Diceros bicornis minor: one gene and its partners. The protein of the gene in region 4 interacts with the protein of the main gene of each other region in a pairwise test. Links are inferred from orthologs where the notes say so. Each region holds a gene or a part of one and is shown on either strand. Other genes may lie near its edges.

Evidence for each region.
Region 1: the proteins of DLG4 (region 4) and DLGAP3 interact in a two-hybrid assay, tested with the Homo sapiens proteins (2 studies listed by BioGRID and IntAct). The link is inferred for Diceros bicornis minor from reciprocal best matches to the Homo sapiens genes DLG4 and DLGAP3.
Region 2: the proteins of DLG4 (region 4) and SYNGAP1 interact in a two-hybrid assay, tested with the Homo sapiens proteins (2 studies listed by BioGRID and IntAct). The link is inferred for Diceros bicornis minor from reciprocal best matches to the Homo sapiens genes DLG4 and SYNGAP1.
Region 3: the proteins of DLG4 (region 4) and DLGAP4 interact in a two-hybrid assay, tested with the Homo sapiens proteins (2 studies listed by BioGRID and IntAct). The link is inferred for Diceros bicornis minor from reciprocal best matches to the Homo sapiens genes DLG4 and DLGAP4.

The regions. Positions count from the first base shown.
Region 1 is NC_080752.1:49,327,623-49,335,116, forward strand, and holds the start of DLGAP3 (disks large-associated protein 3), read right to left. Parts: upstream 3,012-7,494; 5' UTR 2,866-3,011; intron 1-2,865. UniProt on the Homo sapiens protein: May play a role in the molecular organization of synapses and neuronal cell signaling. Could be an adapter protein linking ion channel to the subsynaptic cytoskeleton. May induce enrichment of PSD-95/SAP90 at the plasma membrane.
Region 2 is NC_080753.1:31,071,815-31,078,705, forward strand, and holds the start of SYNGAP1 (ras/Rap GTPase-activating protein SynGAP), read right to left. Parts: upstream 3,004-6,891; 5' UTR 1,034-3,003; coding exon 967-1,033; intron 1-966. Other genes in the region: protein CutA, read left to right, coding at 3,361-3,402, 3,669-3,877, 4,068-4,127, 4,236-4,281, 4,409-4,458, 4,581-4,707; PHF1 (PHD finger protein 1), read right to left, coding at 5,249-5,537, 5,695-5,775, 6,043-6,137, 6,226-6,415, 6,538-6,642, 6,811-6,878. UniProt on the Homo sapiens protein: Major constituent of the PSD essential for postsynaptic signaling. Inhibitory regulator of the Ras-cAMP pathway.
Region 3 is NC_080758.1:23,522,148-23,529,166, forward strand, and holds the start of DLGAP4 (disks large-associated protein 4), read right to left. Parts: upstream 3,011-7,019; 5' UTR 2,793-3,010; intron 1-2,792. UniProt on the Homo sapiens protein: May play a role in the molecular organization of synapses and neuronal cell signaling. Could be an adapter protein linking ion channel to the subsynaptic cytoskeleton. May induce enrichment of PSD-95/SAP90 at the plasma membrane.
Region 4 is NC_080757.1:11,065,064-11,072,375, forward strand, and holds the start of DLG4 (disks large homolog 4), read left to right. Parts: upstream 1-4,312; 5' UTR 4,313-4,756; coding exon 4,757-4,786; intron 4,787-7,312. Other genes in the region: ACADVL (very long-chain specific acyl-CoA dehydrogenase, mitochondrial), read right to left, coding at 193-337, 778-912, 1,025-1,089, 1,190-1,262, 1,346-1,411, 1,687-1,762, 1,854-1,900. UniProt on the Homo sapiens protein: Postsynaptic scaffolding protein that plays a critical role in synaptogenesis and synaptic plasticity by providing a platform for the postsynaptic clustering of crucial synaptic proteins.

The DNA of each region.
Region 1 (7,494 bases), on a different chromosome or scaffold from region 4:
CCCACCAAGTGGGAATGAAATCAGACCCTGGAAAGGTCTCCTGACCACAGCGATGGTAAGATACTGGAAGTGGTCTGTAGAAGCCCCTCTACACAAAAGCTGCTGTTGTCATTTGCTCCCTTCATCCCCTCGCTCCAAGAACCTCTTCAACTGATCTTAGCAGATTAAGAGAAAAACCAACCAAATAGTAGGCTTTTCTCTGAATTTCAGCCTTCCCATCTGTAAAATGGGGACAATTATCTTTATCATTTACCCTAGGCTCCTGGAATGTTTAATTAGAAAGGGTTTAAGGGTAACTACAGACTCTTCCAAAATCAGACAAGCCCCAGAAGTTTCTCTACCCAACAGGAACCCACAGAGTAAAGAACTGTCAGGCCAGCTAGAGGGAAAATGCATCAGAAACCGGGTAGGATGAAGGAAAATGGAGCTCAGCCAGCTCAAGCCCAACATCAGCTGGAGGGAGATGATGTGAGGTGCCAGGCAGCAGCTGAAAGCAGGCACTGTCACAGAAGAGAGTCTGGGAGTCTGGCCTGCAGCAGCTTCAGTGCCTCACCAGCAGGAATCAAGACAAGCCCATGGCCTACCTCAGTGATTGGTATGGCTAGGAATCCCCATCCCCAGGAAGGTCTGTAGCTTCCTCTCTTTGGAAAGGGGTCCCAAGTTGAAGGATCTACAGCCTTAGGCTTATTGAGTCTTTGATCCTTCTCCCCAGATTCCCTCTGGTCAGCTCTGATGGCATGGGGGGGGGGCGGCAGGAATGGAAAGCAACATGGAGGGTTGGAAAGTTCCTTGGCTAAGACTAGCCAGGAACCCACAAGTTTGCTGTGTGACCTTGGGCAAGTCCCCTCCCTTCTCTGGACTTCAGTGTCCTCACTTGACAATTAAGAGTTTGGATCAAGTCAATTCTAAGTTTCCTCCCCTGGCCATCATTCTACAGCTACACACAAGCTCACTCCTTGGAAGTGAGCCCCCTGGCATAGAATGCAGTGGGCACTGCCTGCCAGATCAGTGGGGCACTGGGGGTGGGGGATGCGGGGGTTGTATCTGATGCTGTTCATCCTATGTTCATGTTCCTTTTAGAAACACCTGCCACCCTAGCCCTCCCGCTCCCTTTTTAGACCCTGATTCACTGCCAACTCACGAAGCCTCTCCCTCCCCTCCCTCCTCTCTTCTCCCCCTCTCTCCCTTTTAGGCCTTGGCAGCTGGGTGCAAAAGTAGCCCCAGCACTCAGGGAATGCTAGGTGGAGGTGGAGATCAGTGCCCCCAGGGTCAGAGAGAGGACACCAGGGGGTATCCCTCTCTAACCTCGGCCCAGCCCAGCTCTGCGGGTCACCAAAAGACCTGGGTTGGAGTCTTTCTGTACCACTGACTAGCAGTGTGGGATTATGGGAAATGCAATTCACCTCTCGAGCCTCAACATCCTCATCTGTAAATTGGCATTATATTAAGATGAACTACACGAAATTGCTATTTTTGTAGGTAAAAAACAAAAAGTTGAATATTGGCAATTTCATATGGCTTAACCTAGCTTGCCTGTTTCCTGGGGCCTTTGCGGAGATAAGAAGAAAGAGTTGAGAGGGGAGCATTTTTCAAAAGCCCTAAACTGATAAAAGGGCATATTATTATCATTATTATTACTTCAAAGAGCTTTAGCACAGACCCTCCTAGAGCCAGTGGGCTGAACCAATGACCCAGAACTTGGAAATTGAGGGCTTGGAAGTCTGGGAGACAACCACCTGCTCTGATGACTAAGAACTGGGCAGAAGCTTCCACCTGGCCTCCTCAGCTCCAGGCTCTAAAGGGCCTTTGGTGAAACATTATTGGGATGACACAAGTTCCCAGGCCCCAAGAAGAAGCACACATACTCCAGCTCACCCCAGGCCCCACCACCACCAGGGGTCCCAGCATGCAGCAAGGACACAACCAGCAGCATCACAGAGGGTACCCCCTGAGGTGGGTGAAGGTGGGGACCAAGGTGGGGAGTGCAGCATGGCTCTTGCCTGAGTCAGGGGTGAGGAGTCCCTGGGGAGGGGGATGAGCTGACCTCTAAAAAGTCTGATCTCCCTCTCCCATGCCCCCCACCCCCCAGGAATCCCTGGGGGGAGGGGGGACAAAGCCCAGGTGTGGGTGATTCAGAGTGAACCCTGCTCAGATACATTCTCACACAGCCAACACACACACACAGGCCACAGATACCTGAACCCACTCACAGAGACACAGTCACACCAGCACACACACACATCCCTTCACATACACACTCACAGAGACATACACAGGCACACACGGTGACAACACACACACTCATTCACACACATGTCCACAGACACATACACAGTAACACCCTCCACACACACTGCATACACCCAGTGACACGCACCGAGTCACTGCACACACTCACTGGCACACACAACCACCCACAGACCTACATGGTGACACACTCTCATCACAGACACACAGTGACACGCACTCACACTTACACACCTGCAGAGGAAACTTCTCTCCGGATCTCCCCAACACCACCACTTCCCCCCACAACCCAGCTGGCTACTCCCTCCCAGATCCAAGCCTCCAGCCGGGCCAGAGCCGGGCCAGGGCTGGCCGGCCCCGGCGGCTCTGGCCGGAGAGCCGGTCCTCGCTCCGCGTGGTCCCCTCGCCGGTCCCTGGGGTCAGGCCCGCGGGCCGTCAGGCCGGGGCGGGGGCGGGGGCGGCGAAGGAGGCCCAGCCTCCCCCCTCCCGGGGCCGGGAGCCGAGGCCGCCGGAGCCCGGGGCGTGGGCGGCGCCGGGGCCGCAGCCAGGCCGAGGCTGGGGGGCGCTGCAGAGGGCGCGGCGAGCGCGGCCCCGTCCCCACCCCTCCCCGCGGCTTACCTGGCCCGGCTCGGGCTCCGGCCGGGTTACATGGTGCCGGCGGCCCGGGCTGGGGGCGCTGCGGCGGCGGGCGGGCGGGCAGGGACGGGGCCCGGCACTGCGGAGCCCCCGGCGGAGGGGCCGCGCCGGCTGCGGAGCCCCGAGCGAGCGCCGAGCGGCAGCGGGCGCGGGAGCGGGAGGCGGCCAAGCCACGGAGGCTGGATTTCCCGGGGACCAGGAAGGGGAGGCGGGGGGATCCCGCCCGCGCGCTCCGCCCCCGCCCCCGCCCCCGCCCCCGCGCAGGGCCGCCGAGCCCGGAGCCCGCGAGAGGGAGGGGGAGACCGAGCTCCCCGCCCCCGCACCGGACCCGGGAGGGCCGAGGTCGCAGCCGGCGGGCGGCCGCCGGGGTCTCGGAGGAGCGCCCGCCTCGTTGAGCGACAGCGCTGGGGAGGCCCACCCCGGGGGTGGGAATAAGCTCCCCCTCCCCGGGACCACTGGGTCAGTGTCAGCCGGGGACCCAAGAACAGACACACAGTGTCACGGCCACGCACAGCCGACCTAGGCACAGGGACCCGAGCCCAGAGGCAGGCGGTTGGGGAGACAGTCACACAGTCTCACAGACACGGTCTCGCGCCCCACCGAGACACAGTCACATCCTGAATGTCACGCACGGCCCCCCAGGCACATCCCCTAAGGAGACTCTCCTTTGGGTTTTGCGGGTCAGCTACCCGACTTCAGCTCCTGCCCTCGGTTCAAGGAGCCCCGTTCCTCTGCCCCAGCCCCGGCCGAGGTGGGGCGCTGTGTCCTGCCTCAGAGCCACCGACCGGCGTTCCCCACCCACAGTCCGCACAGCCGAGGCATCCCCAGTGTGGAGGGAGAACCCCGCTATACCTGCCGACTTTGCTGGGGCCCCCACCCATGCCCACTGTGCCCGCCCACCTCTAGGCCCTGAGCCAGGGGTTGTGCCATGGCGGGGGCGGGGAGGGGGGGAGAGGGAAAGGGGACTGTCCGAAGCCCAGCCAGAGGCTGCAGAGCCAGGACACAGGCTGCAGGAGCCAGGAGAGGCGGAGGAGAGCTGACTGCAGCAGTCCCTTGGCTTGAATCCGTCTTGGCGCCCAGAACGATGCTGTAATGGGGGGGAGGGGGCCGCACTGGGGAAGCCGCAGCGGGAGGGGCTGAAGATGTAGGGGAGGGGCTGGTCTGGATTCTGATTTCCCAGGGTGGGTGTGAGGGAACACTGCCTCAGGCGCTGAAAGTTGGGATGGAGAGTAGTACGCATCCTCAAAGCGCTCTTCCCCTCTTTCCTGCTCCACATTTTCTGATCTTGAAAGCTTTGAGGTAGTGAGGTGTGGGTTCAGGCGGCTTGGGAGACCGACTGTCCACCTCTCTAGGAACGGACCTTGCAGTAGTTCTGATTAAACGCCCACCCAACAATTCCCTTCTTCCTATACTCCTTTGGGGCCACTGGCTCTCCTCCTTGTGTAAAGAGGAAACCGAGGCACAGAAAGAGAAGTCACAGGCCCAAAATGGTTAGAACTGGGAGCCAAGCCCTTTCCTCTTTCCCCAGGGAGATGTTTCAAGATGCCACAGTACATAGATGACATAAAGGGGGTTGGAGAACCCTTTCCCCAGGAAACCTAGAAGTCTGGTGGCAGACTGGCAGGCTGGTCACCTATCCTGCTGCCTGTAAGACCGATTCAGTCTAGACTTGTCAATCATGAGCCAAGGTTGCAGACCGTTCCCAGCCCAGGGATCAGCCAAGAGCAGATATCAGAGAAAATAAGATTGAAAGTTGGTCCTAGGAACCTGCTTTGGAACTGGAAGAGGCATTTCACTTTCCATGAAGCGTAAGAACAGCCATCATGTAGGATGCTAAAAGGCACCACCATGTTTTCCCAGTTCTAAGATGTACATTTTGTGTTAACTGAAATTGGAAAGCATTTTACAATGGATAGGGACGTTTAATATGGTTTTCTACTTTTTCTTAAAGCTGCTATCAAAGAGATGATGTGTTTTAGAATTGAGAACATAGTGTAGTTTTCATTTGTTCATTCAACAACCATTTATTGATTGTACCTGGCACCTTGCTAGCCTCTTGATTAAAGATTAATCAGATAGGCTTAGCTTAGACAGTGTTCTCTCACATCCATCCAGTATATATAAGGGAGACGGAGATGTAAACCAACAATTACTATCAGGGTCAGCTTCATGGGAGTGTGAGCTGTACAGTCACACAAAGCCCCACACTCAAAAGGGCCCCACTCTTGGTTTAATGCTGTGCTGTCACCATCTTGAGAGTCTTAATAATTTTTGAACAAGGGGCTCTGCACTCCACAAATTATGGTTGTTCTATTAGGAATTCCATGCCTTAACAGAAATAGGCACAAAATACTTCTAGAGTCTAAAGGCAACAGCCAGCTCTGCTTAGATGAAGAGGGGCAGTCAAAGAAGTAAAGAAGCATCAAGGAGGCATTTGAGTAGAATCTCAAAGATCGGGAGAGAGAATTACAGGTAGAGAGCCACACATGTACAAAGACAGAAACTCATCAAAATGTCAATCAAGCAGTGTGGCAGACTAGGTGCTTGGTTGATCCTCTGCTGAAAAAGTGATAAATGATAGAAAAAGTGATAAATGATAAAAAATAATAAATAAAATATTTTATAAAATCTTAAATGCATCAATGAGCTGGCAAGAAAATAAGAATCACTGCAGCCAAGATGTAAGAGAAGGCAGAACCAGAGAAGTAAGCAAGGCACTGAAGCCAACTTTAGCCTTGGGGGCTATGCTACATTGGTTGCAAAAACGATACCAACTCTCCACCTCTCCCTGAATCCATGTCCTTTGCCCTGTGACTTTGCAACTCCCTGCATCAAGAGATGGACTCTATTTTCCTTGAATCTGGGTGGACTTGTAACTTGCTTTGGCCAATAGAATGTGGAAGAAGTCATGATGTGTCAGTTCTAAGCCTAAGTTTTAAGAGGTTTGCATACTTCTACTCTTTCTCTGGGTCTCCTGCCTCCATTGTGAGAACAAGCCTGGAATAGCCTGCTGGAGGACGAGAGACAGGGTGCAAGAGAGCCATGCTATTCCAGCCAAGACCATCATAGAACAGCAGACACCCAAACATGTGAGAGAGCCCGGCCAAGAGCAACATAGATATCTACCTGACCGCGGCTAGCTGCCGATACTTCAGTGAGACCAACTGAATGAGAAGAACTATTGAGCTAATTTGAGGACTCTTAAGCAATAATAAATGCTTATTAATTTAAGCCACTGAGTTTTGGAATGGTGTGTTATGCCACAATATTGTGGCAATAAATCACTGATACAGAGATATCTGCTAACAGATAAAATTGAACTTCAGTTTTCATGACCTCTCAGGGCATGTGGAAAAGAAGATAAACTGCAAGGTCTACCCAAGTTTGGCAAATACTCCCCTGCGTAAACTTAGAACCCCAAAGGGCTCTGCTCTAATGTACAAGTGAACTAGAAAAAACTAACCCCATTCCCACAAGCAGGAAATTGCCAGGAAAACTACCTGTTTTAAGCCTTGGCAATAGCAATGAGTGTAGGGAGAAAGAATCATCTCCTGAGAATCCATAACTACAACTTAGACCTCACACCATATGCAATCAAATTCACTCTACCTAGGTGATCTGAAAAACCTCAAACAAAGAATTTAGTATAAAATGGTCCCAGACTGGTAGTACCCCAGGTGCCTGGCAGAAGCAAATGTAAATCTTTGTTAGAGGAACTCACCTTTATCTCGGGCCTCAAATAATTTCCACAGATAAAGTTCCAAATAAAATGAACAGCACACAGTCAAATATCACTAAACACACAAGAAAACATGACACCAAGAACAAGAACCAGCAAAAACAGCAAACGGCTGAAATGCCTCTGCAAAGAACTCAACTACTGGACTTATGAGACACAGAACGTAAAATAAATATGTTTAATATATTTAGGGAAATAAAATAATCCTGTTGCTTTTGGCTTATCTTCCTTGTCTTATTGTACTAGCCAGGTCCTAGAGTACAACGTTAGATAGAAGTGGTGATGGTGGGTATGTTTGTCTTGTTTATAACTTTAGTGCTCTGACATTTTTTCTTAAGGATGATATTTATTGCAGGATTTTTAGAGACCTCTCTTGCTCAGGTAAGGGAAGTTCCATTTTATTTCTAATTTCCTAAGAGTTTTAATCAAAAGTATGTTGAATTTTATCAAGGGTTTTCTGCATCATTTCACATGATCATATGGTTTTTTTCCTTTAATCTGTTAATGTGATCATTTACATTTAGAGATTTTCCTAATATTAAATTTTACTTGCCTGAGATAAACCCAACTTTCTCGAGGAGCTTTATGACTTATTTTACATATATCATTGGATTTGACCTGCTAATATTTTGTTTTGGATTTTTGCTCTATATTAATAAATAAAATGAGCCTAATATTTTCCTATCTTTGTTGTCTAGGACTTGGTATCTAAGTTATTCTAGCTTCGTAAAATGAGTTGGGCGAGTGTCATTTCTTTTTCTTTCTCTGAAAAAGTTTGTATGATTGGAAAGATCTGATATTCGTAAGCTTGTTGAAACACATCTGTAAAACCATCTGGAACTGGTGTTTTCTTTATGGGAAGTTTTTTCTTT
Region 2 (6,891 bases), on a different chromosome or scaffold from region 4:
GAACTGCCAGATAGAAGAGAGAGAGAGAGAGAGAATGGGCACCAGAGAAGAGGCTGATATAGGGGAAGGACAGAAGGGGGACTCATATAAGGAACGGACACCATATGGGGGGAAAGATATAGGTGATGGACACCAGAGGAGGGAGGGGGAATGGAAATAAGGATTGGAGGTGGGGGAGGGGAGTAAAAGTGGGGAAGTGAAGGGAGCGGATAAGACTCCAGGGGTTACATTTCACTGGCCTTAATGAGGATCAGAGCCTGGGGCAGGGTCCTGACCTGGCCCCTACTCCCATCACTCAATCTTACTTGTATTGCCCCCCTCCCCCGGCAACAAACACACACATAATTTGGTCCCCCCCACTGCCCTGGTCTCTCCTCCCCCAACCCATTCCCTCTTTCCTCTCTTCCCTCCATCTGGACCCTTCTTTCCTCCCCCCCCCTGCCACCCTCTCTCTCCATCTGGCCCCTTCTCTCCCTCCATCCTCCTCTCTTTTTCTACTCCCTACCATTCTCTGAGCCCCCCCACCATAATCTGTCCCCCATCTTCTTGGCTTCTCTTTTCACCCCTGTGTTTTCATTTCCCCCTCCTAGCCCCTATCCTAAGACTCTGTCCTTCTATTTCCTTGATATTTTCCTCATCTCTCAGCTCCCACCTCCAAATTATTTCTGCAGCTCTTCCCCCAACCCTATCCTTCTATCTTCCCACCCTTTCTGGCAATCTTTCCCCTTCATCATTTTCCCCCCAGTCCCCTTAAAAGCCTGTTTCCTGGCCCCTCCAGCCCCTATCTACCCCTATCCTCTAGCCTCCAACCCCTCCTTCCCCGTTGCTCCCATCCCTGCCTTCCCGGTCCTCCTTTCTCCCTACATTTCAGCTGCTCCCCTCCCTGGCCCCAGCTCTGCACCCCCCACCCCTGCCCCTCCCCCTCCAGCCCCCCCCCAGCCCTCCCCCTCCCCTCAACCACCGTACCTCTGAAGGGGGCATAGGACATCGCGGGGATGCTCCCCCGATGGATGGAGGCGCGAGACCTGCTCATCAGGCCTAGGGGGGAGGGGGCGGGGGGACGGGGGAGAAAGAAGAGAGAAAGAGGGGGAGAGAGAGGGGGAGAAGGAGGAGGAGGTGGAGGAGGAGGAGGAGGAGAGAGGAGGAGAGAGGAGCGGAGAGGAGCAGAGAGGAGGAGAGAGGAGGAGGAGGAGGAGAATAGGAGCCAACGGCAGCAGCGGCAGCCGGGAGAGAGAGAGAGGGGGGCGGGGGAGCGAGCGAGAGGAGAGAGCAGGAGGAGGAGGAGAGAGAGACTCGGCAGCCCCCACCCCTACTCAGTGGGAACCAGAGAGAGAGAGAGAGAGAGAGACCCCTGACTCAAAAACACACCAGAGAGAAAGAGAGCAGTTCTAAAGATGCAGACCCCAGACCCTGAGATCGAGAGACCCCAGACCCACAGAGGAAGATACCTTGCCACCCCTGGGAGTTAATCTGAGGCACAAACCCAAAATCTAGAGGAAGAGAGACCCCAATCTCAGAAAAAAAGACCCCAGACTCCCCCCTGAGGGGTCAAAGATCAAAAATCTGAGCATCCAGTCTCAAAAAGGTTCTCCATAGCCACAGAAATCTTAGACTCCAGGCTCACGTGGTGATTTTCAGGGACCAAGACCTGAGATGGAGACTCAGAGAAAAAAGATGAGACCCAGATTCAGAAGAACCTAGACCTAGAATTAGGTCTTAGAGAACTCTGACCCAGAGAGAGGTATCAGAGACCCCAGACTTAGATCTCAGAAGAAAGAAATTGCAGACTCAGAGACAGAGACAATCCAGACCTGGGGGGGGGGGAGGGCGAGAAGGGAGAGAGAGAGAGAGAAGAGACACTCAGCTAGCCCAGAGATGGAGAACTCAGAGACCCCAAACACATAAAGAAGAGTTTGAAAGACCTCAGAGAGAGTGATTGCAGACCCAGAAACACAGAAACCCCCCAAACAAAAAGGAAACTCAGTCCCGAGAAAGATCCCAATGCAAATTCTGAAACACCCCATAGAGCTCCATCTCAGAGACAAACTCCAATCCCAAAGACAGAAATCTCAGGGAGATCCTAACCCCAGAGAGGTAGGTATAAGAGAACTCTGACATCAGCCTGGGAAACGCCCAGTCACACCCACCCAGCAGACCAGAGACCCCAGACCTTGGAGGGAGCGGGGATACTGGGTAGGGGGAGTGGCAAGAGCTTTTTTCTCTGTCGCCTCCTCCTACCTATCTCTCCTCTCATTGGCCCCTCTCTCCATTTTTGGGTCACAGGATGTGCTTGGGCCCCAGGGAGGTTATGTAGGGCAGGTCCTGGCTCCTAGGGGGACGGGTTGATGGAAGGAGACCCAAGGCTGAGGCGGTAGACCAGTCCTGGAGAGTCTAATAGTTAGGGGATAAGGGAAAGAAGGACCATCACTACTTCCTGGTGTCTTCTCGGTATCTCTAACCTGCAGCCCTCATCTCTCCCCATCTCGCCAATTCACCAGTCTGTCTCTAGTTTTGGGGTTTCAGTTAAGAAGGCTGAGGCGCCCTCAGCCCCTCTATCCCATTGACAGGGTCTCACTCTGTCCTTTGAAAATGCATCTTTCCTCACCTAGGCATTGTCTTGCCAAGCCCGTGCCTGCCTAATCACTTCCCTCTACCCAGGGACAGCTGGCTTCTCCTCAGATTATCATTGTTCATTCCCAAACCAGGCATCTGTCAGTCCTAACCAAAATGGCAGGGGGCGCTCTCTTCGCCCCCGAGGTTCAATCTTCTCAGACCCTCCCACTCCTTAAGGCCTCGGGAACAGTGTAGGGGCTGTCAGTGGGCACATTCTGGGGTTTAAGGATGATTTCCCACTCCACAACCTGACGCATGGAGTCTGCGGGATCTTTAGCCCCCCCTTTCCTAGCGCCAGCTCTCTCATCACGTGGCCTGCGGGGCTGGCCTGTGATTGGCCTTTTCGTGTCGCTCATTGAGGTACCGCCGCCTGAGGGGCCCGGTCCCCTCACGTGACAGTGGAACGCCGCAGCGGCTCTCCTCAGCCCGCAATGGGCTGTTTCCGGTTTACACGGAAGCGAGCGTGCCATTTCCGTGCACGTCTGCAGATCCGGCTGTCGATTGGTCAGATCCCCCTTCGCTCCTCCCTCACCAGGAGGCGGGGCAAGTTGGGCCACGTGAGGGCCAGGATTGGCTGGCTCTGGAGGGTCGGGTGGTCCGGTTTCTACTGTCACGTGGTGTGCGCTGTTTTCTTATCACGTGGCTGCCGCCCAGGTAAGAAGGGGCAGCTCTTCCTGGCTTTGGGGTCCTTTCTCGGCGTTACGTGTGGCGTTTGATATTCAACGCACCTCTACCAGCATAGACTGCATGAGGGGGGGGCGGGGTCCCGCCATCCTGCTCGGCGGAGGGGTGAGTGACTGGCCCCGCCCCTTCCGGTCCTTCAAGCCGCGGTCACCACCCGCACCCTAAATCCCGGAGGTTGGCCCTTTAGGAGGGAGTGAAAACCAAGTATATGCCATAAATTTTCCAAGTTTCTCTCCCAGTGTCAGGGACCTTTTCCTTCCGGGTGCAGAAGAGGGAGGGCAGAGCCTGAGTGTATATCAAGCCAAGGGTTCCTGGGATGCAATTTCCTGGGGTATTTGCGGGGAGACACTGAATTCACCTCCTGCTCTCAGGCCGCTCTGCTCCTGTCGCTTCTTTGGATGCCAGCGCTGCTGCCTGTGGCCTCCCGCCTTGTGTTGCTACCCCGAGCCCTGCTGTCCATGGCTTCAGGAAGCCCCCCGACCCAGCCCTCGCAGGCCTCGGGCTCTGGCTATGTTCCCGGCTCCGTCTCTGCAGCCTTTGTCACCTGCCCCAACGAGAAGGTTGCCAAAGAGATCGCCAGGTGGGGACATCAGTGTGAAGCAGGGAAGGATGGTCATGAAGGGAGAGTTGGGGGTGGGGGAGAAGCGTGCCCCCTCTGCCTGCTCCGGCTTTGGAAGCCTGTCTCTGGGGCTGCCAGTGCACAAATCTGGGTCATGGGCGCTCTGAATGGGGCTGTCTCTTCACCTTCGGGGCTGTCTCTTCACCTTCAGGGCTGTGGTGGAGAAGCGCCTGGCAGCCTGTGTCAACCTCATCCCTCAGATTACATCCATGTGAGTCATAGGAGTTGGGGGGTTAACCTAACTCCAGGGGCTGACTGGCAGTCTTTTTCCTTGAGCGAAATCTTTGCTCCCACAACACTCTCTCCCTGACCTTTTCAGCTATGAGTGGAAAGGAAAGATTGAAGAGGACAGTGAGGTGCTGATGGTGAGAAACATTCCCCTACCCAACAAAACCTCAATTCCCTGACCCCTTTAACCCCATCCCTCATTTGAGATCCTGAAATCAATCAACCCTTCCCCCTGATTCAACCATGTCTGCCTTTGCCCCTTAGATGATTAAAACCCGAAGTTCCTTGGTTCCGGCTTTGACAGATTTTGTTCGGTGAGAACTGTGAGATGGGTAGGGGTGAGGGTGTATACTGTGGGGTGGGACTTGCTGGGCAGTCTGAGGGGGTGGGCTCCTTTGGGTAAATCTTTGAGCGATCCTCCCTGTCTTTTTTGCAGTTCTCTGCACCCTTACGAAGTGGCCGAGGTGATTGCATTGCCTGTGGAGCAGGGGAACTCCCCATACCTGCATTGGGTGCACCAGGTTACGGAGGCAGTTTCTGACTCCAGCACAGTTCTACCCTGACGAGCCCTGTTCCTGCCATGTTTCCCTCATATACTTCAATGCCCTCTGACTTTCAGGTGATGACTGGGTCCCTAATAAATCCTGTCTTTGGTTCTTGCCACTTTTACCTTTTTCCTTGTCATATATGTGAATTTGGTTGGGAAGATTAGAAGTGCTTCTACTCCCATCTTTCAGAATGACTCGGGGATACCAGATTTGTTTATTTATCTTTATTTCAATCATACAGAGTCTGGGATCCTTTATCATCCCCCCCTCCTCAGTCTCCGTCCCCAGGGGTTAAATAATTTTAAAAAATATTTAAAAAGCTGTAACAAAATAACATCAAAGGAAATGGGAAGAGGGATGGGAGAAGGGTCAGGAATCATGAAGGGAGTAGAGAAGAGAGAGCCTCTTCCCCAACCCCCCACCTGGATTCCAGCCTGGGCAGTAGAGAGAACTACCCCCTACCTCCCCAGGTACATCCCAGCTGTAGGTGAGGTCAGAGGTCAGGGTATGAAAGTGCCGGTGTGTGTGAATAGGGAGGTGGACAGAGGCAGGCTGTTCAGAAGATGCCCCCACCTCCCCACTCAACCAGGTACTGCACAGAGCCATCCGGCCGTACTCTCCGAGCAAGGACCCGGACGGGGTCCCCTCGGGAGAGGTAGCCAACCCCACCTCGGACTCCTCCTCCAGTCCCAGGAGACAAACTACGGCACAAGGGAGAAGGGGGTGCTGAGCGTCTAGGAAGACTTGGGGAGGGGGCTGGGACTGAGGAAGATGAGGCAGTCATCGAATGGGGGGCACTTTTAGGGATGTCTGTGGGGAAACCAATGTGAAGTTCCAGGGGTGACCTAGGGAGAGAGGGCAATTGTGAGTCCTGATGCAGATGAAGACTGACCAGAAATGGAGGCCACATGTGGATCAGAGGAATGAAGAAATGGATAGGAACTGAGGAACTTAAGAACACAGGCAAAGAGGGGTGTCACAGGTAAAGGGGTAGAATCTCACCTGTCTGGGGGTTCACCATCCCCAGAGGTCCCTGCGGTGCTGGCAGAGGGGTGGAAGGAAGCGAACATCCGGATGGGACTGCTGGGGTTGGGGAGGGGGAAAGTCAGGACCTGGGAACAGCACCCTCTCCCCCTGAGAAGGGCAGAGCTCAAAAACTACCCCCAAGGAACCCCCATCCCCTGAATACTGGGGATCGGACATTGGTTCTAGAAGTCTCTCTAGGACAAGAAGTGAGTAGCCAAGGGGGAGAGAGAAAAGAATTTTGGGTGAGAAAGTCCAGAGGATGTAGACAATTGGAGGAGAGGTTCCAAGGGAGCATATCTGGTTGGAGGGTGGAGGAGCACTGACCTGGGCAGACAGCGGGCATCTGTGGGCCGGAAGTTGTAGCCGCTGCTGCCCTGGTAACTCTGGTTAGGGCTGGGGGGTGGTGGAGACACTGAGGCCTGGAAGAAGGAGCACAAGACTGAGAGATAATCCTTGATTCCTTCCCACACCGCCATTTGCCCCATGGCATTCCCTCTGCCCCTGTACCTGCAGTGCCCTCTGCAGACGAGCCCGCTCCCTCTGCTCCTGGGGCTTGGGCTGATTGCGCACTGCTGAGGGTGGCCCCAGCTCCTCCATTTTCCCCTTCTGCCTCCTCCTCAGGGGCTCTGGCTCCGGCCTCCGGCGCTTCCCCAGGGGACGTGAGACCCCTCCCCCAGGGCCCTGCCCTGAAGGGAAGCTGTAAGAGGCCTCCTTATCCCCCCAGCCCCCTCCCGGACACCCCAAAGACCTCCCCATCTCCATACATATACCCCCAGATTAATACCCTGAGAATTTCCCCATCCCCCCTGGACCAGTGACCTGGTGGGGGCTCCATCTCCAGTAGGGGGCTCCACAGGGGGAGGGATCCGAGCATGGAGACCAAACAAGCATTTCCTCTTCTTAATCTCCCTCCCTGAAATGAAACTGGGGTGAGGAGAGAAATGACATAGGGTCAGTGCTGTAGAAAAGCGCCCCTCTGATGCCATTATTCAGTCCTTTTCAGAGATGATCTTCCAGGTAAGTTGTGGCCTCTCCCTTCCCAGGCTTCCATATCCATATCTCCATCTCTTTCTGAGCCTCCTTCCAACTTACCGGTCCTTGTGGCTGTTGAGAGCAGATAGGAGCTTGGAAGAACGTTCTCCCTTGGGGGTGTCTGAGAGCTGGGAAAGCGGA
Region 3 (7,019 bases), on a different chromosome or scaffold from region 4:
TGTTAGCTAAACGCTCTGCTCTGACCCCTTGTCAGAGTTCCAGATGCCTCATCCCCTGCCCATGGCCACAGACACCTGCTTGGCCTCCTAAGTGTTAAAAATGCAAGAGGCACTGACACATGTCTGAGGAACAGATGGAGGAAACCCCCGCCCTTTTGGGGGAACTTCCTGGCCCCCAATCCTCAAACACGGGGCAGTGATGCTGGCCTGAGTCAGCCTGTCCAGTTTCTCATCCCATCTCCTCCACCTGAGCTCTCTTTGACTGCATGGCAAGTAACTTTCCCTTTCTGAGCCTCACTTTCCTCCTCTGTAAAATGGGTAGAACAACAGAATCTGTGCAGATTCAATGAGACATGGTAAAATGCTTAGCAAAGAGCCTGGCATTTAGTAAGTGCTCAATAAATATTAATTATTATTGTTATAATTGCTTTTTAGCCTTTTTACTATGAAATATAATACACAGAAAAAAGTGCACAAAACAAAAATGTTTACTGAAATAAATGATCACAAAACAAAAAGTTATCTAACCACCACCTGGGTCAAGGAAGAGAAGACCGCTTGCCCCTCAGACACCCCTCTTGCCCCCTCCCAATCCTACATCCTCTTTTCTCCACAAAGGTAATCCTTTTCCAAACTTGCATGGTGCTGTTACTATTACTATTAATAATAATCAAATTGAAAACAAGAATGTGTGGCACTCCGCCCCCACCCAGCCAGGCTCCCAGACCCCTGGCTGCCTCTGCCCTGGGCGTGGAGACTTCCCATCCGATTTCCCGACTTCGGCTTCTTCGGCTGTTCTTTAAATAACCAGCTTGTTAGCAAAATAGCAGCAGTAACACCTCCCTCGCTGCCGCCCCGGCCTCCATCTTTCCACGCAATGCTGACGGCTGCTCTCCCAGCTCGTGCCAAGGAATCCCGTTCTCCGTCACTGGGCCACACACACCAGGCGCTGCCGGCTACACTGCGCTCTCAGTGGCCACAATCCGGCCCCTCCGGCGGTGCCTGGCCTGGAGGGCAGAGGCGGACACTGAATGGCAGTAACTTTCAGGAAGGACTAGAATGCTGACAGATGAGCCCTCTCGCCCAGGTCCGGCGGGTCCATGCCTCAGTCTCCCCACCAACCTCCCACAGGGTGGTCAGTAGTTTAACTGAGATGATGAAGAAAATGAAGCACTGAGTGCAAGGCCAGGCGCGTAGTAATTGCTCAAGAAATGCTTGCTGGCAGTCAGGTTGCTCCTGTTACGTAGTCCCTGCGGGGGAAATGCAGGGTGCAGGGCACGCCCAGGAGTGTTTGTGAATGACTAAACCCCTCAGACGCTCACAGCTCTCAGATGAGATGTCCTTATCACTTCTTTTCCTGTGACAGCTTCTCAGCCAAATGCAACAGCTGTCTGCGGTCGCTACAACAGGCCAGGGGCCAGATCGGGGGAGCTGGGCTGGGTGTCAGCTAATTAACAGGGCCTTTTTCACGGTTATTGATAACAAGGCTGGCACCGCACGAGCAAGCAGCTACTCATTCTCGAAGAAGCACTTCTATATACATTATCTACAGCAAACTTCACAGGTTTTTTATTATCCTATGACATTTGCATATTATACATATTTACGAGTCTTTTCCCTTCTTATAACCATCCCATCAGGGAGGCTGGGCAGCTGTTGGCAGATGAGAGAGTCGAGACCAGAGGGGCTGGCTGCCTTGCTGAAGGCCCGAGCTGACCTCAAGCTCTCTGGGGCCAGCAGGGACCAGCAGCTGGCCACAAGGCCAGGGGTCTCTTGGGTCCTGCTGGTGTCTGGGTGGAGGGAGGTGAGAGAGCCTTCCCTTCTCTCCCTCTTTCCTTCCTTCCACAACCATTTACTGTACCCATGATATGCCAGGCACCGTGCCAGCTGCTGGCTGTCCGGTGGGGAATTAAGCAGTTATTTCTCACCCTTAGGGAGCTGAGGCCAGATGAGGAGGCAGATCGTAAACCAACAGTCCCATGTAGTGCTGAGTGGCAGCTGGGTGACCCTGGGGAAGCCCCTTGAGCTCTTTTGAGCATCAGTTTCCTCATCTGAACTGGACTAGTCATGCCTGCACAGCCTTGGGAGATGGCGGGAGGATGAGACGCAGGAACGTGGTGAGTGTCAGGTGCTGTGGCCAGGGCACGCTGTTGTGGGAAGGAGGACAGGACCAGGAGTGGGTGGCGTGGGTGGCGGCAGGCTGCGGCATCCTCAGATGGATGGTCAGAGATGCTGGCTGGGCCCTGCACCTCATCCCATGTTGGGGTTAGGCAAGGTCGGGACTGGAGGAGTGTGGGTGGAACAGGCTGGAGGGGCAGAAATAATGGGGCTCCTCAAGATTCAGGAACTCTGATGGTCTCACTTCAGCCCCCTTGGGGGCCCCAGAGGTTCCATGGCTTCCAGTACAGCTCACTGCTACCCTTCCCTTCCTGGACCCATGTCACCAACTGCCCAGCCCCTTGGGTGTGGCAAGAGCTGGCCTTTGAGGTGGACAGAGCTGGGCTTGCTGTGCATCCTCAGGCAAGTGGCTTCCCCTCTCTGAGGGTGTTTTCCTCTGTAAAGCGGACGTAATCACCATGCCCATCTCCCGAGTTGTTGGGAGGACTGGATGAGACACACAGTTAAACTATAAATTGAGCCCAGACATATAAAAGCTCTCACTGAGGTCCCTTTGCCAGCATGTGGGCGCCGCTGGGTGAGAACGCTGGGCATTTCCCAACTGTGCCAAGCAGGGGTGGGCGGGTGAGCAGCCCTGATTCCGTGTGCCCAGGCCTGAGGACGCAGTTACTTACCAACCAGGGAGCCACGTGCAGAGGGAAAACAGGAACCAGTTGGGAACCAGCAGGCATCACCTCAGGAGCAGGCGCTGGACCGAGGGCTGGCACACACATCCCTCTGGGCACTTGATCAGAGGTGCTGGTGGGAAGCAGCGTGGGACAGGGGCCTTTCAGCGCCCAGAGTGACCAGGTTCTGGTCACACACAGGGCTACCAGGCACCTGGCAGAGGTGCCTGCAGGAATGGGGGAGAACATTAATTAGGAGGCAACCAGGATAATCCCTCCACCCTGAGACCCCTGGACTGGCCCTGCAGACACTGGGGAGGGGGACACCATGTAACAGTCATCATAGAAACCCAAGTGTCTGGACAACACTACATTTTCCAAAGCCCTCTGGCATCCCAGATCATGCAGGCCCCCACCTTATTTTTCAGAGGCGTATTTGCATCTCATGCATATTTACGATGCCTTTCCCACCACCCACAGAATGCCCACAGCAGTGGGAAGCTGGGGTTCCAAAGGCTCCGATCCTCCCCATCTTGCTTCTCTCTCCTTTTCCCTGGATGGCAGCAGCTGGGAAAGGGGCTGGAATCCACAGTCCTGAGTTCAAATCCCAACTCAGCCCCTCACTCACTAAGAGGCACTGGGCAGACAGCTGCCCCATTCTCAGCCTCAGTTTCCCCACTTGTCAAATGAGAATGAGTGCCTCCTCCGAGAGCTACTGTGAGCCAGGTGGCTCTCTCTACCCACCTCTCCCGAACAGGTGCCACGGTTCCTGCTTGGATCTTTACATCAGCAGGAACCAGGCCCTCCTGGGAGAAGAAAAAGCCCCTCCATTCCACCCCCCCCCAGGAGCCTCTTGTTGCCTTGGAGGCCTCGGTGGAAACCCCTGCTTTCTGCCCTCTCATTCTACAGGTAGAGAAACTAAGACACAGGAAACCGAGCTGACCTGGGGGCCCAGAATCCAAGTGGCTGGGCTGGGATCTGAGCTCAGCGTTTCCACCTCTCAGGCCTGGGAGGGGAGGTACAGGGTCAATTCAAAGCAGGAATATGGAGAACGGGGCAGTCTACGGTGGGGAGGTTCCCCTTTCTCTCCTGGTCACCCTGGAAAGCCCTCACAACCTCTGAGCTCCCAGGATCCGCACCTACCCCTTGCCAGGCCCGCAACAGGCATGCCCTCATTTCCTCCTCAACACAGCCCTATGATGCTGTTGCTATTTTTCAAAGGGAGAAACCAAGGCTCAGAGAGCTTCAGTAATTACCCACGGGTGCACACCGAGCAGGAGGCAGGGCATTCGACTCTGAGACCCAGCACTTAACCCCAATGCCACCCTGTCTCCCCCAGTGGGAAAATCACCAACTGAGAAAAACAGGCATAACCATCTGGACGAAAAGTATTTAAGTAGCAAGAAAAGAAAATACCAAACTCCAAAAAATTCTGAATTAGTGGACACAAATTCTTAAAGATGCATAAAAGATTTCAAGATGCACCATGGGGTGTGCAAATTGCCAGTGCATGAAAATCCAGTGCTTGAGAGGATGCGTTTCCGACCACATTGTCACTTTTAACCAAAATCAGCCAGAGCCCAAAGCTGAAGGAAAAGAGGCGACAGCAGAGGGAGGCGTCCTGTGCAGGGCAGTGGGGCAGGGGCCCTGATCTGAGGGTCCCATGACCCACCTTGGAGCCCCTCCACTTCCTTGCTGAGGAACCAGAGGAAGTCTCCTCCCCGAGTCCCCCCTTTACAACAGGTGGGAGAAGCACACAGGACAGTCTCTCAGGTCCCTGCCAGCTCTGATCGTGTTTAAGATTCTGGGATTTCCAACGTGGATGAACCTCGAGAACATCATGTTAAGTGAAAAGGCCAGTCACAAAAGATCACAGAGCGTATGATTTCACTTATACGAAATGTCCAGAACAGGTAACTGTGCAGGGACAGAAAGCAGATTAGCAGTTGCCATTGGGGGATTGGGCAGGGGTGACAGCTAAGGGATTCGTGGTTTCTTTTTGGGATAATGAAAATGTTCTAAAATGGGCCATGGTGATGGATGCACAACTCTGTGAATATACTAAAAACCACTGAATTGTACACTTTAAATGGGTGAATTGTATGGTATGTGAATTCTATCTCAATAAAGCTGTTCCAACAATCAACAATCGCACACTAAAAAAAGAGATTCTGCAATTTCCAAATGGGCAGCCGTCCTCTGGGAGCCTGTGATCCCCTCGGGGTTCCTCCACTATGGCCGGGAAACCAGGGAGTTTTTTCCCAAGAAGCCCCCCATGCTCCCACAGATCTTCTATCCCAGAGGTCTTTGCACTTCACATTCACCTCCTCCAGGAAGCCCTCCCTGACCTCCCAGCTAGGTCAGGTCCTGGTTACTGGCTCCTAGGGCTCCTTTTGTTTTCCCCTCTACCACTTATCATGCTGATGTGAGGAAATCATTTCATTGATCATCAGTTGACACTGCCTCCTCCAACAGACTGAGAGCTCCACGAGGGCAGGGCCATTGTCAGTGGTCATCATTTTCAACACTTAGCACACCACCTGGCACATAGCAGGTGCTCCAGAAGTGTTTGCTGATTGAATGAATGAATCAAAACTCCAAACCCTATGATGCACACTTGGCTTCTGGTCCTGGCTCTGCCACGTTCCGGCCTCATGATCCTGGGCAGGTCACAAAACCTCCGAGAGCCTCAGCGCCTACCTCAGAGAGTAGCCAGGGGGTTAAGAGATAATGGACGTGGAAAGTACTTTATGAAGTGGTTCCTCCCACAGCTGCCCCATCTTGGTGGACAGAACCCTCTCCCTGCAGCTGCGCAGGCCCAAGCCCTGGAGTCATCCTTGACGCCTCTCTCTCCCTCACGCTCCACATCCAAGCCAACGCAGCTCCTCCAGGACCCACCTTCACACACATCCAGAAGCCGGTGCTGCACCTGCACTGCCACCACCACTGTGGAATGAGCCATCGTCATCTCTTGTCTGGATTATTCATGTCCTCTCTTGTCGCCCAGATGTCCGTGAGCCTTACCCCTTCACCTCCTTCAGATCTTTGCTGAGACCTGACCTTGGCAATGACAGGCAGTTCAGCATTCTGGTTAATTAAGACTCTTAACTGAAGAGCGTGGGCTCGAGCTAAAAATCCAGGCTCTGCCATTTACATAGCTGAGTGACCTTGGGCCAGTTTCTTAACTTCTCTGTGACTCAGTTGCTCATTGCTAAAATGGGAGTAATTACAGCACCTTCCTCATCAGGCTTGTGTGAGGCTTAAATGAATTCAGTGAGCACAACCTCCATGTCTGCTGATATCATTACTCCCCACACTCTACCTCGCATTCCCGGTGCCTCTCTCTCCCTGTTTCATTGTTCTCGCTGGCACGTATCACTATATAATAGGATACGTAAATGAGTAATTTATCCTGATTATCGCCTGTCCCTCCCACAAACACGTCGGCCCCACGAGGCAGAGTTTTGTCCATTCAGTTTATTGCCAGATCCCCAGTGCCCAGCATCGCACCTGGCACGTGGAGGTGCTCAGAGAATACTCTACTCGACAAATATTTTCAATGCTAAATACACAGTTATTGACTAATTGTCACAAGCTCTGGCTTTCCCCTCCTTCCCTGACACAGACATTCCTCTCTCCAGCCCAGCCTGTCCCTCGGAGATCCCAGTCCCCATAGCCAAATTCCTGCCCGCAGCTCTGCCCTGTGGACCCTCACACTCTGCGTGTCCAGGGCCCAGTGCGTGACCTTCCCCGGAGGCCTTGTGCTCCTGCAGCTCTATCTAACCTCGTACCTGGAACCAGCTCACCCTCTCCGGCAACCAAGAAGCCAGGAGGATCCTATGCCCTGTCCTCCTTCTCCCTCGCCCCCTCGTACATAAAACCCAAGACCATGTCCCACTTTGTCAAACCTCCTAAACATCTCTCAAATCCCCTTCTCTTTATCCCCAGAGTCATCCCCCTGTCCGGGCGCTTTCTCGATTCTCGATTTCTCGTTCAGACTGCTGCACCAGGCTGCGCCCTGGGCGCCCTGCAGCCTCCCTCGGTCCATCTTTTGTGTAGCAGATGGGAGGGTCTTTTCAAAACACACGTGGAGCAAACGAAGGCCTCATTCGGCAAGCCTGAAAAGTCAAAATCCTCGTTGATTCAAAAAACAAACCAACCAGGGCTGTTCAGAAGAATTCGACTCAAGGCTCCTCAAACAATGAACAACCTCCCCAACCTGGCCACCCCAGGCCC
Region 4 (7,312 bases):
AGGCCCTTTGGTACCGCCCCGCCCACAGGCAATATTCAGTCTCTTCACATTTCCCCACCAGCACACTGTGATGCCTTCCCAGACTCTCCCCCAACCAACACGCCCAGCTACACGGTGATCTAAGGACCACCAGCCTAATTTCTCTCAAGCCCAGGACACCCCCAACCCCTGGGTCTCCTAGGGCTGCCTCACCAGATGCCAGTTTGGGGAGGTATTTTTCTTTCTGGGCCTTCGTGCCAAAGAGCAGGATGCCTTTGAAACCGATGCTCTGATGGGCGCCCAGAGTGATGCCCACGCCAAGGTCGTGCATGCCCACGATCTCCACCAAGCGGGCGTACTGGAGGGGAAGTGGGCATCTGAGGCCGTAACTGGCTGCGTGGGTACCTGCCCTTAGAAAAGTGTGAGCAACAGGGCAGGGCCTGACCTGTGCATCCCCACAAAGTGAGTGGAGAGAGGAAATGGGACCATGGCAGAAAAGGACACTCGAGTCTGTCCCAGGGCTTAGTGGGAAGGCTTCCTACCCTATTGTCAGGCAGTCCCCACCTTAGAGATTCATTAGAACTTGGGAACCTGGGTGAGGTCCATGTCCCTAGGAGACTGCATGTAGTTTAGTGTTATGTTTGGAATGGGTGTGTACACATGAGGAGAGTCACCATCCCACAGGCCTCCAGGGCAGTTGCTTGGCAGAGACCTTAGCCCCAGGGATGAGAAAGGAGCTGAATCTGCCAAGCCTGAGTAGACCTGGACACTGGGAAGTGACTGAGGGGGCTTCCTCACCTGGGTGTTGCAGAGGCCCACACCGCCCAGCTCACTGGGCACCTGTAGACCAAATGCCCCCAGCTCTTTGAGGCCCTGCATAGTGGTCTCCTCCACCCGCTCCAGCATGTCATTCTTGGCAGGATCATTCACATCCTAGGAAGGCACAGGATTCCACGTGGATCCAGGCTCCTTTTAAGCTCCTTAATCTCTCCCCCACCCCATCAGGGACCAAACTCTCTAGTCCCCAGCCCCAGTCATTCCTCACCTCGAAGAAACGGGACACAGGTCCCACCAGCTCTTTGAGAAACTGTGTCTGCTCCTCGTTGAGCACTGCGGGGGTTGGTGAATGAGTGGGTGGGGAAAACAGGTCAAGCGAGACTGTCAGGGGAAACCGCGTGTTGGACCCAGCTCTGACTACACCTTGCCTTACCAGAGGGGTATGGAAACACCTGGTCTGTGGTGAGCTGACCCTTGAACATCCCCACAGCAAAGGACTTAGATTCCTGCGCAGGGAGAAGGGGGGTTTCAGGGACCTGTCAGGTGGGTCCGCCCCTCCTTAGCTCCTCCCGGCCTCAGGGTCACATACCGCCTTGGCCCGTTTTCCCCTGGTCAAAGCCTCAGAGGAGAGGGACTCTGCCTTGTCCAGAGCAGCCTGGGGAAAGCGGCAGTTAGTGAGGTCAGGGAAGAGGCTTCGGAAGTGCCAAGGAGAGCCCAAGGGAAGAGCTGGGAGCCGGGGAGGGCGGATCCGGCCACCTTTCCCCTAGTTTCATCCCGGGGCACCCTGGCCTGCCCTTTCCCCTACTTTCGGCGCCAGGCCGGTCGGCAGGTGACTGGGACAAACAGGGAGATCCCTGCCGGCGCCGGGGACTTAGGAGCCGGGGCGGACTCCCCCTCCCACGCCCCACTCCCAAGGCCACCGTTACTTACCTGAGCGGCCCCACTGGCATAGTGTCGCCGGGCAGGGCCGGGCCGGGGCTGCCCCAGGAGCGCGCTGGGCCGCGAGCTGTGGGGAGTGGGGGCTCAGTTCTGGGCGGGTCCCCAGGCCTGCTGCCCCCCCGTCCCTCCTGTCATACACACACTTTCCGCCCCCCAACCTCAGCAGCTGCCGCCCCACGCTGGGGGCCATCCTCGCCGCCTGCATCTCCGAACCGCTCCGGTCGCCGCTGCCTTGAGCGCTGACCTAGAGCTCTCGCCCGGTCCGCCAGTGTGGGTTCCCCCACCCCTGACTCATCCTCCACAATGCACCGGGAGGCGGGCGGGCGGGGCTTCCGGTCGCCGGGGCATGCTGGGAGCTGTAGTTCCGCAGCGCTCCTTGCCACCCAGCGCCTGCATTCTGGTTGACCTAAGATGATCTCCATACGTCCCTTGTCTCCCCCAAACTCCTTCGTCCTGCCTGTCGGAACTAGAGTGCAGCCCTCAGAAGGGGTGATGAGATAGGCTGGGACTGAAGAGGGAGAAGCTTAGGCGACTGCAGCCAGAGGGATGGAGGGTAGACTGAAGGGAGGACTTCCCAGGTAGAGTTAGAAGGGAGAGGTGGGAAGAGAGCCGTGTAAGATAGATGCCAGAGGTAGAGGCATGGAAAGACGACTCTTTGGGGTCTTTCTTGAAATCTGTCTCCACCAATACAAAAGGAAGAGAACTGGTGGAGTGGGGGACTCAAGTTGGGATGTGAGTGTCCTAAGCATATTCTCCCAAGACCTAGGAGGTGTCACTAACTCTGGAAACACCTAAATTTTCACAGTGTTCACAGTAGGAACAACCCCCGGGGTTCACTGCTTCCCCCTTAGGGCCTCTGAGGCCTTCTTGAACATCTATCTTTCTCTGCCCTCTGTTCCTTCCTGAGACCACGCACTCAGGCAAGACCTCTGAGCACATGGATTCTTCCCAGGCCTGAGAGGAACTGTAGGAATTCTCATGTCCCTCCCTCTCCCACTGGGTCAAGAAGTCCTAGGCAATTTATACCCTTCTTTCTGCCATTCCTACTGGGGACAGGCACAGGAGGGGAGAGAGCTGGGCTAAGCTTCCTTTCTTTTTGTGCAGCAGGAGCCTCCTTGGTAGTGACCTCTTCCCTAGTCCCTCAGGAAAGTATAGCTAAGTCATGTCTGGCTTTGGGGAGAGGGGCCAGGGTGTGTGGAGCAAGGTGGTGGTGGTGGTGGTGTCTGGGGACCCGGGGAAGAATGGGACAGCGGGTGGGTTCAGAGACTGCCTCCTTTACCTAACAGCTGGAATTGGGTGAGGAGATGTCAGCTCAGCTTCAATCCTGGAGGATTAGCGAGATTAAAGTGAGAGAAGAGAGAGATGTCCGAGAGACCAAGAGGTGAAAAACAAGAGTCCTTGCGGAGGAGAGGCCTAGGGGTGGAGTGGGCGTCTGGGACTCTTTCTCCCCGAATCTTTCCATAGAGTCTGGGGTGAAAGGGCAAAGGCTGGGGAAAGATGAGGTGAGTGAGTATGCTGATCTGTTTGTCTCTTCCTTGTCCCAATCCTCCCTCACTTGCATTTCACCAGCTCCCAGGTCAGCCCTCTGGCTCCTGGCCCCCCCACTATTGCGATGGGCACCCCCTCTCCTCACGGTGCTGCACAGTGACCTCTTCCAGGCCTTGTTGGGTGAGTAGCACCAATTTTCTGAGGGGCAGTGGTGGAAAGGGCTGGCCTGATCCTGCGAGGGCAATTATCCATCTCAGGGGCTGGTTGAGAGCCTGGAGATCATTTGGTTCAAGCAGGAGCCCCCGCAGGGGTCATCCTGACAGTGTCCTCCATCAGCGTCCACCAGGCTCGGCTGGAGGAGCTCCTCCCTGACCAGACAGAAGGAGGCCAATGATGGCAGGGATGGCCAGGGAGGCAGGGGCAGGGGAGGGTAACTCAGTTCTGTTCCTGTGACAGACATCCTGGACTATTATGAGGCTTCCATCTCAGAGAGTCAGGTAAGGGGGTGGGGTGGGGGGACTGACTTCCTGAGGGAGGAGGCAGGGCTGGAGCAAAGTACTGAGGGAGGCACTGCTAATATTTAACTGAGACTTGGGGGCCCTGGGGATGAAATTCTGAGTGAGGGGCATGGAGAATGCACTTTCTCCTGTCCTGCAGCCTCTTCTCCCTCTTGCTTCCCCCCTTTCTTTGCCTGCCCCAATTTCAGGCACTAAGAGTCCAGGACGTAATTACTTTTCAGGCTTCCTCCTGTGAATCCCGAGGGAGAACTAGGCCCCCAGGGATTCCCTCCTGCCAGCCCCTCCCTCACCCCCTGCCCCCTATCACGGGCTGTCTCCAGTATTTAAACAACCGTGGGTGCTCCCAGCCCGACTCTGGGTGCTTCCTCTGAGAAATGAAACCCATCCTCATCGTCTCTGCTGTATCGCTGGTGGCTGGCCAGGTCTCCATGTTTGCCTCAGGGCCTCTCCTCTCCTGCTTCCATCTCCTCTCCCATTATCCGGGTTCCTGCCAGCACTGAAGGAGTTAACTCTGCCAAGGCACCCCCCCCATTCTCGCTCCTCGCTCGCTCCCTCCCTCCCCCTGCTTCCTCTCTCCTCCTCTCTCCCCTTCCCTCCTCGGCTCCACGGCTCCCTCGGCCGCTGCCGCCTCCGACCCCCCCACCCCACTCCCCCGCCACGGCCCCTAGCCCCTGGCCGTTAGGCAAGACCCCCCCCTACCCCGGGGCTCCCCAGAATCCAGTTCCCCTCCCCCACCTCAGCTCATGCCCCAGCCCCCGAACTCCGGGGCTGCCAGCCCCCGGTGCCCCCGCCCCTCCTGAGAATCGGGGTGTGCTCCCCGAGCCCCCTCCCCTCCATTGGGGACCCCCTTTTAGGGCCCCCTTCCCCTCCCTCCCACGCTTCCCTACCTTTTCCTTCTCCAACCCCCTCTTTCCCCTCTCACCCCTCCCCCCATCCTGGCTCCCCCTGCAAAAGTGGGGTGCGGAGGGGGGAGGGGTGAGAACCGACGGAGGGGAGGAAGGAAACTCCGATGAAGTCAGAGCCCCTTACCCGCCGCCGCGGCCAGGCCCCCCAACATGGACTGTCTCTGTATAGTGACAACCAAGGTAAGCGTGATGGGGGGTCTGTAAACTGGGGGGAGGGTATGAGTTTGTGGGGAGGGGTTAGGCAGGCCTAATCTGGGGCCAGGGGGCCTGGAGTGAGAGCATCAGAAGATGTATCTCAGGGTCATAATTTACTTTTGGGGTGCACATCTGAGAAAACGCTTGGTTTGGCCACAGGTGCCCCCGGAGTGATCCCTTTGTACCTGTAGAGAAATGGAAAATTTGGTGTATTCCATGGTTTGGGGGGTCTTGTGGGTTTTGGGGTTCACCAATGATGTTTGAGGGAGACTTATTTAAGGAGAAGCCTAGCTCACATGGGAGTTCTGCTCTTGTGTATGTTAGGTGGACTACGTGGTGGGGGGGTCCTTTTTCCCCCTGGGGGACAAGCTGGCTTCCAGGTGCCTTGTCTAATTTCAGGGGGCTCCTGGCTTGGGGGTAGAAGGTTATTGGTTGGGAGTGCCTGACTGGTCTGGGGGTGTCAGCTGGCAGGGAAAGGGTGGGCCTTCAGGCTATGGAACAAGCGTCTCATGGTAGATACATTTGAGGGTCTGCTCAATTTGAAGGAACTGTTAATTTAGGGTTCGATCATATGGAATGGGGATAGTTGGGAGTTGTCAGAGGGCTGGGGTCTGGCATAGGATCACCTGAGGGAATGGACCAGGTGAGGTTAGGATTTGGGGGTACTCCCATGGGACGTAGAAGGTTGCGGCAGCTGAGGTTGCCAGCTCCTGAGGAGGACGATGGGAGGTTTTGAGAGAGAGGGGATTTAAGGAGGGGAACCAGGTAGGTGGTACAAAATTTGGAGGTGGCCCAGGCAGGTTCCCAATGTCCCCATCCCCTCCTACACTGTATCTACCCCTGGTTGAGAAAGAGGGAGAAGAGCAGATGGAGGGGACTGTTCCTGTTACTACCCCTGACACTTAGGATCAAGGTTGGGGGGACACCTGGATTTAAGGTTACTGGGGTGAAAAGGAGTAGGAGGAGGGCAGGGCTGGCAGCAGTAAGGATCTGTACAAAGGTGGCCTTGTGGTTGGGGCCTGGAAAGGGCAGGAGATCTTGGATGGGGAGCGCAAGCAAGCTCCTGGTGGGATGCAGAATACCTAGGTCTTGGCCGGGAGACTCTGGAACTGGAAAGCTGGATGCCTGGTGTATGGAGGGAGGCTTGGGCGGGTGGCAGGCAGCTGGGGGTTGGGGGGTGGGACAGGAAGTGGGGGCCGGGGAGGCGGGGTCCGGGTGAGTCACTGGCTGGGGAGGGGGTTATATTTAGTGGGAACTGCAGCTTCTCAGGGGAGGGAGCTGAGGACACACATGTTCTGTGCCACAAACTCACACATGTGTGTACACATGCGCTGTACACATGTGAGCATGGATGGAAGAGACTGGGGGCTGAGGACCTTTAGGTTCGGAGCCCCCACCCCCTCTCCAGGGCTACTTGCTTGTACCCTGTTTTGTGGGCTTTGGGCTTTCTCCCACACTGCTTCTTTCCCTCACCCCCTGTAGTTTCAGTGGATTTTGGTGCCTCAGTTTCTCTGGCCTGGTCTCCTTTAATGTCTATCTGATCCTCTGCTCCACCTGTCTCCTGCCCTTAGCCTGCCCCTTAACCTTAGGCTCCCTGGCTGTGGTCTCCTGTGTACAGGTGTACACAGAGAGCCAGTTGGAATGTGTAGGCTCTGCTTCCAACACGTGAACATAACGCCAGTGAGGGTGAGGGGCTTGCCTGCACTGGCAGCTATTCTGGGAGGGTGGCTTATTCATTTCCCTTCCAGACTCCTACTTCTTCGATGGAGCCCAGGGTTGAGCCTCTCCGAAGGAAAGAGCCTTGTGCAGAGAGGATCATGCATTTGGGGTTTTACAGAGGCATGGAGACCCAGGCTTACCATATTACTTGGCCGGAAAACTTGGCAGTCTTGGGATGGCGGGGACTCCAACTCCCATAAGACCTTGAGGCACAAGATCCCTCAGTGTTAGAGGGCTGCTGCCGGTGGGGCTGTTGGGAGTTGTGGTTCATCTCTATCCAGGGCAGCGAAGGGTAGCCCAGGAGGAGCCAGCAGGGGGCACATGGCACTTTTTCCCCCAAAATGCTGTGTGGGGAAGGGGGTGCCCAGGCTTTGCGGTCGTTGAGCTTCCCAGCTCCGTCTGAGTCCTCCATTTTTCATTGCCTATATTTAGACTCCTGCCGCAGTGATTTAAGGAACATTTATTGAATGCCACTATGTGCCAGGCCCTGTGCTTTGTGCTAACTCTGCCTTTATAGCTATCACTTAGTCTTACTCCGTGCCTATATCTCTGCCTGTCTCTCTGTCTCTGAGCATCTTTCTCCCACTCCGCCCCCGTCCCTCCCCCTTCTCCCCGCGCTGCTGCCGCCGTTGCCATGGTAACCGGCGACGACTGAAGTTGCGTGGCGAACTTGAGGGCCGGGCGCGGGTGGCGGAGGGCGGAGCAGAACAAGTGGGGGAGGGGAGAAAGTGGGGAAAGACCGGGGGTATTTGGCCAGAGCCCCGGAGGCGAAGCGGTTAAACCCCCCGGGTG